Lytechinus pictus: one gene and its partner. The protein of the gene in region 1 binds, or shares a complex with, the protein of each later gene. Links are inferred from orthologs where the notes say so. Each region holds a gene or a part of one and is shown in the gene's direction. Other genes may lie near its edges.

Region 1 (4,282 bases):
CACAAGGGCGGATCCCACTTTCGCCAATAGGGGACGGGGCCTATATTTCCCCCGATCAGTCACTTCTTACTTTTATTCTTATAAAACAACATAAACATGAAATAATCTCATAAGCCTTATAAAAAGTGCGAGCGCGAAGCGCGAGCGATTTTTTTTTTATTTTTTACTTTCATGTATTTTGTCCTGAAAATTTAATATTCTGGGCAATGTTATGTGTGATCCTGAAAAAGATTCGTATGTAACTAAATGGTTACTGCAAACGCCAAGCGCGAGCAGAAATTTTATCAACTGTTCTAGCATTATCGAAAAGGGACCTGTTAAGGACAGTTACCCACGAAGACGGTATATATTTCAATAATGCGAGCGCGAAAAGCGCGAAGCGCGAGCAAATTTTTTTTTACATTCCGACATAAAAAATTTTCATTCTAAGCACTTTTTGTATTAATAAATGGGATAGGTATGTAACTAAACAATTGATGCGAGCGCGAAGCGCGAGAGGAAGAAAATTGTGATTTTAGACCTAAAAGCGGGACACTCTATTCATATTTTGTAAACCATAAATAGGATATAGTTAATTGGGTATCATTAATAATGCGATCGTGAAGCGTGAGCAGACAATTATTGATATTCTTATGTGAAACTGGATAGTTTTAGTAAATTTAATATAAAGAACATGCAGGCTATCGCGCATGTTTTAGATTTAGACCTAGAATCTGGGCAGTCTGAATACATTTTTAATGGAACATTATGGAATACACGTAGATAATAGGAACTTGGCAAATCAAACAATTTGACCACGCAGCGTGAGCTTAAAAATGCTGATATGTAGACTATAAAAGGGATATTTTACAGCTAGAGCACTTAAATTTGTTAATGAAAAAAATTGATGAAAGTTCGTGTCCGAGCTAAAATGTATTTTGTATATCGACTTCAAAACTTGCTCCATATCAGCCTATTGAGCAAGAAATGAATCTCATCGAACAGGCAATTCTGGCGCGAAGCGCAAGCAAAAGTTTTATATAGTAACATGAAAGATTTTTTTTTTGCAAGTCTTCCTTTCACATTATTTCATTCACTCGTCTTCCTCTTCTTTATTTTCTTCTGTCTTTCATCTTCTTTTCCTTTTTTCTTCCCTTTTTTTTTGCTCTGCCAATTTTTTTCAGGGGGGCACCTGGGGGGCACACCAAATCTCAAGGGGGGCACGTGCCCCCCAGGCCACCCCGTAGCTACGCCACTGTTCCCATGGCTATGCTTTTATTTTATTAATTGGGTCCCCGGCCGGCCCGCCCCCCGGCCCCAACTTACTAGCTAGCTCGGAAATCATCGTACCGTAGCTAGCGCTCTCAATTTCACGTTTTGGAGGCAAATTACGAACAGACCTGGCAGAAACGTTCGTAATATAAACATCATAATTCAGTTTCATTAATGAATTTACGGCGGAACTGACATGAGTAGTAAGTTTTGATGTCACTTTACTGCATAGTTCATCTGAATGTAATGTATTGGCTTACCTTTAGATTATCTCTGTAGGATTGTTTTTATTCATAAAACTCCGCGCCTGGAAATCCAAGAGTCCACTGCCAGTCAGCGGTAGCCTGTGGTAGGACTTCGCCGCCATCAGCCGCCTGGCATAGGCGGCTTTCCGTGGCCTGGCGGCGAGCACAAGAGTCGAGACTGTCATTGACATTGACATTGACATTGACTGTCCGGACAATGCCATCGTCACTCAGTCTCAGCTGAGCTCAGACCTCAGTTCAGATCAGAGATTTCTTGTGGGGATAGAAGGCTTAATTACCGTTTTTGGTGGGGCACTTTTCGTTTTCATGGCAGAGCCAGAGACTGGCGGGATCATGTTCATCATTGGCCACGGGATTGAATTTGAAAAGGGGGCAAACGCATAATGGCGAATTGCGTAATGTTGGCTTAATCTAAATAAGATATTGAATGTGCTTTGTGGATTTGAAGAATGCATGTTTTATGAAAAAGAATGTGATATTTCATGAAAATCTCCAAATAGATCAGATCCAGATCTATATCTAGACCTTGTCCTCGATCCTCCCCCCCCCCCCCCCCCCCCTTGAGATCTCGGCTGTTGGCCACGCGATCGCGCTGAAAATTGGCAGGTGGGTTGTGTGGAACACAATCTACAAAATTGTGTAGTAATTTATTTCATGTAAATTGCTATTAAGTGATTATGCGTAATTAGTATGCAAAATCATACTTTTCCCTCTAATTCCCTAAATAGAGCTCCATACATATGTTCTATTTTTTTGTATAGAAACATGATTAACTTAATGGTATTCTTAGCAAGTGTACATGAATAGGATTGAGATATCAGATCAACTATTACATGTATATTGTTTTTTGCAATTTTTTATGTATTTCTCTGTTTTTTGGACCTTTTGTTTTTCATTGTTTTTTCAATGAAATTTGTTGGGGACTCTTCTGAGATCATAAACAGCATAAAATAAATACATTTAGACCAGCAAAATATGAAACTAAAAATAATCATACATTCATGATTTTTTATTGAAAAAACAATTTGCTTTGACTTTGTACACAAAATCACATTTTCAGCAATTTTTGGTCTGACATGCACTTACATAATGTTACATACACTCGGAACCGCGTACCTGGGTGACGCAAAACTGGTCTCAAAAGTTGCGCAAGACTTGAAAATTAAAAGTCAGCGAGCGGCGCGGTCTAAAAAATTCGCTCGGCGAAAATATATTGCGCGAATCATTGAGGGGGGCCTCCGAGCCCCCCCCCCCCCCGACCTGGATAGGGTTAATCCAATGTCATGTGATATAATGTCTTGTATGTGTGATGCCTCATTCTAACATGTACTGTACCTCAGGTGATGGTTCATGTAGGCTCCACTACACTTCACTATGCAACACCTACCCGAACCATCTGGCCAGGTAACTCGTTCTGACACTCTGAGTGACAAAAGGTGTCACTTTGTGTCATCAAATAAAAAAACTCATGCAACAACATGACCTTACAAATGATCTATAACAAATCTTCTTACATTTCACTCCTTGTTTTGTCCTTGCTTGTATCAGTCTCAAAATCTGCGTTTTAAAGCCAGTTGCTATTTGCAGAATTATCACGTTTTTACTTTCTCCTACACAAACGGCTAGTCATCTTGCACGCAGTGATAGGGACCTAGTCCCCATCTTTCATAGCCAGGCTGATAAGTATGAACTATCTTTTCCCCAATAAGATTTCTAATTCATCTACATCTAAAGTCCTTATGTCTCGATTTTCGTTTCATTTCACAGAGAAGGACAAGGGACAACCTCCAGCTAACAACAATGCAAGGTAATGTATCTCCTGTTGATTCTTACAATGGGTGATTTCAAGTTCATTGCTGGTGTTGGTGTAAGCACGAATCAGATTGCCTTCCCTTGCACCAAATGACCATAACTTGATTTGAGTTTATAAAAATGAACCAAATCACATTAGATCTATCATGTGTAATTCAACACTGCACCTTGTGAGATTCAGGTGGGGACCAGATTCATTTAAGTTTGGTGTTGTGCTGGTGTGATAAATTGCTAAGCACCAAAGCCATGATGTCAATTGCCAACACTGAGCTTGAAATAACTGTTGGCCTAACATGAGATCAGAATGATTCTTATAATACAGCTGAAGTAGGCATTCTGGAGACAAGATAGTAAGCATATATTTTTATCAATAGGATGTTTTCACACCGCGACGCAGAAAGTTTTCAAGAACATACATGCATGTACAAAATGTATTGTCGAATGCTCTTCATGACAAAGAGCAACCAAGAAGTCTTTGTCAAATATTGGTGTATCAAAACAGCACTTTCATCCTGGACCCTGGACAAACAATTTATTTGCAACATTTCATCAGCTCCGAAACTTAGGATGGTTCACCTACAAAGACCTCCCAACTGGTCATTGTCATTTGACAGGCATTATCATTCCATGTACTGTGATGTGTTCTTGAATTCTCGCTACCCCAAATAGGAACAAAAATCTCATAATGCGCGAGACGAGATAATTTTCACTCCGACGGGTCGTCATCACCACTTCCGGTTCAGAGTCATGCTCGCGCGAGGTTCGCGATACTGAGTTTTCCACCACGCTGAAATCGATGCCAATCAGCGTAATATGTACAGATTATAATACTTTTTATTTAATTTGGTCAGTTTTGATTCCATTTTTTGAATTATAAATACAAATAAAAAATATATTTCACGTGAAAATAAATTTTTATTCATGTTTTTATTTGGTTATAAAAAAATTAAACA
Region 2 (4,282 bases), on another chromosome or scaffold:
ATTCTTAAGAACATCATCCATTTTGGGTTAACTTTGAAGCTATATAGCAAAAAATCAAGCACATTTACCCATGTTAATTTTAGCATATTTGGAATATTCAGGTGCTAAAGTATCTATGTGCAAAGTATGATGAAAATGACATGGATTTTCAATGTTTGGGAGCAAGACTACGGAACCATTCGCATTTTAGACGGTATTAAGAGACTTTTGCTTGTTTTCGGTGCATTTTGGGCTGTTTCAAGCCAACTCGCAATATTTTGAACACTGATAATTTGAAAACGAGCACATGGACCCCATATTTTTAATATTTTAACGTCTTCAGTATATATTCCTCTATAAATGTAGAGAGTATGATGAAAATGACATGGATTTTGCATTTGGGAGCAGATCTACGGAACCATTCGTATTTTAGACATTTTAGACGGTATTATTAGACTTTTGCATGTTTTCGGCGCATTTGGGGCTGTTACAAGCCAACTCGCAACACTTTGGACACTGATAGTTTAAAAAACGAGCACATGGACCCCACATTTTTAATATTTCAACGTTGTCAAAATATATTCCTCTGCAAATCTAGAGAGTATGATGAAAATGACATGGATTTTGAGTGTTTGGGAGCAGATCTACGGAACCATTTGTAATTTAGACATTTTAGACGGTATTATTAGACTTTTGCATGTTTTCGGCGCATTTGGGGCTGTTACAAGCCAACTCGCAACACTTTGGACACTGATAGTTTAAAAACGAGCACATGGACCCCATATTTTTAATATCTTAACGTCATCGTAATATATTTCTCTGCAAGTCTAGAGAGTATGATGAAAATGACATGGATTTTGAATATTTGGGAGCGAAATATTGAACTATTTGCATTTTAGAGGGTATTGAGAGACTTTTGCATGTTTCGGCGCTTTTTAGGCGATTTTCAAGCCAACTTGCTACACTGTTGGGACACCAATAGTTTAAAAACGAGCACAAAAGCATGGACCCCATATTTCTAATATTTTAATGTCTTCAAAATAAATTCTTCTACAAATCTAGAGAGTATGATGAAAATGACATGGATTTTGAATGTTTGGGGGCAAAACTACGGAACCATTCGCATTTTAAAAGGCATTGTTAGACTTTTGCGCGTTTTGGGCGCATTTTGGGCGATTTTCAGGCCAACTCGCATCACTTTGGACACTCATAATTAAAAAACGAGCACATGGACCCCATATTCTTAACTTCCCTACACCTTCGATATGCATTCCTCTACAATTTAGCCGAATTTGATGAAAATGACATGGATTTTGAATAAAGTGCAGCTTACAAAATACTTTTTATAATTTTTGAGTAGATTCACGTCTTTGAAGATTTGTTTTTTCCGCGTTTTTGCACCATTTTTGACAAATGAGGGCGCTGCTGACTCCAAATAGATATAATTTTACCAATTAAAAGACTTTCTCTTACTTTGGTATACACTTTGTTATATATCTTGAAAATTTGATGAAGTTTGATGGGGTATATCCACTGAGTATTTAAGATGATTTAAACTCATATGGTGAATTCGTGAGGTCTAAGAGATGCATAATTCTCTTGATTGCGAAAGATTGCATATCATTCAAATACGGCGACTTTGAAGACCCATAGAAAAAAAATAAGCACATGAACCTATATTATTTTTTGCATTTTCATAATGCATAGATACCAAATTAATTCTCTGCAAAATTTGGTGAGAATGACATGGACTTCATTTTAACTGTGGAACGTCCTTGCCTTAAACCTAATATTGCGAGTGCAGTATAAGCGAGTTTGAAAACAAAACTTATAGTTGTCATATTTACAGGACGAGTTTACCCTTTGGACGTGGATGGTGTGTGTGTGTGTGTGTGTGGGGGGGGGGGGGTGTTGTCCCTGCTTATGCATCTTATTTAATTTTATCCACCTTTAATCCTACTGCATCATTGAAAACTCTACCATAGTTATTAAACGCGGATGCTGATTATCGTGCATTAATTGCGTCCACGCCAGCCCAGACTCCAGAGTACTTTTGATTTACGAAAGTCAGACAGAGCAGTTCATCATGTCAGATTCACAGTTCACTGATTTGATTGAAAAGTATTCAGAAGCGAGAAAACTTTCAGAAGAGGTGAGTGAAAGCCACATTATTCATTAAAAGGTTTGAAAAGTAAATTTTACAGCTTACATCGAATAGAAAGAACGTGTACGTGATCGGTCCCATATGTGCAATTTTGTGTTAGTAGACCTGCCTAAGTTTGAATTGTGCTGAAATCCTGGGTATTTTTTATTAAAATGTTTTGTATCATGTAAAAGAGTAAATTCCGGTCTTCTTTTTTTTTAATACAAAAATTTGCACGAAGTTGAATGTGAGATTTACTATATTTTATTGGGATAAGAGGAAATGCTTATATTTTTTAAACAAGTCAAACTCAAAACTCAAAAGTTCACGATTTTCCCATGCAGACAATGCCAGATGCCTGATGGGAATCTAAAATCACAGATATTTTGCTTATTTCAGTAACCAACTGTTGATCCTGTTTATTAATACCTATGAATGTGATATTTGAAAAAGAATGCTAACTTGTCAGTCCACTTCCAAGCCTGTAGTGTAAGTGAAAGTTGAACATTTTATATGGTAGTGGATCGTATTACCGAACACTTCATGAATTCAATCATATCAAACACATTATTCTCATAAAATTTACCAAACTTTCACCATAAATGCACAATTACCTACAAAATATAAATATGATTTTTTTTTGCCGAAATCGGTTTTCCTTTTTTCAATATTAGCTTCCAATCGGACCCCTCTTCGCATGTGAAATATTTTGGTCACTTGAAAAAGGTATCGTATTACCGAACGTGTGTTTTCTATGGGAAAAGTTGAGAAAACAACAAAATTACTGATGAGCTATTTTCACCATATTTTATTATTTTTAGAATATTAATACTTTGAAAATGTGTTTTTGACCATTTTTCATCATCTTTCTATTCAAGTTCCCTTTGGAAGAATGTTGCAAAATTTTAAGCGTATGAAATTATTTTCTGACGCTACGATGCGCGTGTTCGGTAATACAAGGCCGGTCAGTAATACAATCACTCACTATAATGAGTCTTAGATCTAGCCAAAACTCAAAAGAATGCAATTTTTTAAGAGGTACTCGCTCTAGGGGGCATTGGGACCTCAATATGGTGGGGGAAAAGCTGCCAGAGTAGTCAGACTTTCAAGCACTGTTGTACAAAATCCACAGATATTTTAAAATAAAATTTTTTACCTTAGATATAATTTGTGATATCTAAACTGCACTAAACAGGAACTGATTTCACCAAAAAAAATCATGACTAGAAGTCTATTTAAAAGAAAAAGAAAATCACAAGACAATTCACCCCACTGACAAGCGTATAAGAAATGAATAGGTGTGCATCCGTGGAACACCATAGTTTTTTTTGTTAAATCCTAAAACAGCTCATCCTTAGTTTTGGAAGAAATTGATATTTTTTCAAATTTCGATCAGATTTCAATTGTGGCATACTTACTGAAGGGCTTTCATATTTTGTGGCAATGTAGTCTGAAGAACTGATCCAGCTTGCCTGAAAAGTATTGAGTAGTCAGGGATGTGAGAGTTCAGATTTTTATCTGATTTCAGATTATTTTTTTTTCAGCTTAATTTCAGCATATTTTTGGCCTTCCTCTGTACAAAAAGTATGGGAGCTCTTTCTATTTCTGACTTTTTTCAACACTCTTCAGCTTTTTTCAGATCTTTTTATTTGTGACCACTCACACCCCTGGTAGTCTTGATCTACTTTTCAGAAAATTTTGTTATGTTTGTCATTGTGTTTTATGTTCTCTTATGAACAGGCATCCAAGAAAGATCCAGAAACCAATCCCTATAAATCAAAGTATCAAGCCAGGGAGTTGCTTCATGAAATAAGGAAAGAATTAGAAAATGCCAGCGAGCAGGGCGAGGAATCCAAAGGTAAACCAGTTATAAAAATAAAGTATGGAAATGAATGTTTTTGAAGACTTTGAACTTTTAACATGTGTGTTATGAAATGAAGGTACATTACAGCAAATCCATCCAGTTCCTCAATTCATAACTATCAAAAAAAGGATCATATTTTGTACAAAATCAGTCTGGAAAAGAAGCCTTAATTTCTTTTAAGTAGGCCTATATTGTAAATGTTGCAGTACGAACAAAGCAATGTCCAAATCAAAACTTGAAATCATCAGTAAATTTCTTTTGTGTTATTCATATAATAAAATACAAAATATATGTAA

What was found. The genes of interacting proteins can lie anywhere in the genome.
Region 2: the proteins of kinesin-like protein KIF15 (region 1) and KIF-binding protein-like are in contact, whole or in part, in a cryo-EM structure (PDB 6ZPH), measured with the Homo sapiens proteins. The link is inferred for Lytechinus pictus from reciprocal best matches to the Homo sapiens genes KIF15 and KIFBP. Residues at the interface, in NP_064627.1 of Homo sapiens: Leu187, Glu189, Ile191, Lys192, Lys193, Arg231, Glu232, Arg235, Arg271, Met280, Arg281, Leu282, Lys283, Glu284, Ala285, Gly286, Asn287, Asn289, Arg290, Leu292, Ser293, Gly296, Gln297, Ile299, Ala301, Val303, Asp304, Val305, Gly306, His312; in NP_056449.1 of Homo sapiens: Lys26, Tyr33, Lys36, Ile106, Glu109, Ile147, Ser150, Glu151, Glu153, Thr208, His209, Tyr212, Tyr213, Gln216, Gln219, His220, Phe224, Gln238, Glu248, Trp249, Ile251, Asn252, Thr255, Gln258, Phe259, Asn262, Tyr415, Val416, Thr417, Glu421.

Annotation. Positions count from the first base shown.
Region 1 is NC_087246.1:69,477,897-69,482,178, reverse strand, and holds the start of kinesin-like protein KIF15, read left to right. Parts: upstream 1-1,327; 5' UTR 1,328-1,447; coding exon 1,448-1,454; intron 1,455-3,284; coding exon 3,285-3,324; intron 3,325-4,282. UniProt on the Homo sapiens protein: Plus-end directed kinesin-like motor enzyme involved in mitotic spindle assembly.
Region 2 is NC_087247.1:22,972,874-22,977,155, forward strand, and holds the start of KIF-binding protein-like, read left to right. Parts: upstream 1-1,784; 5' UTR 1,785-2,065; coding exon 2,066-2,131; intron 2,132-3,862; coding exon 3,863-3,980; intron 3,981-4,282. UniProt on the Homo sapiens protein: Activator of KIF1B plus-end-directed microtubule motor activity. Required for organization of axonal microtubules, and axonal outgrowth and maintenance during peripheral and central nervous system development.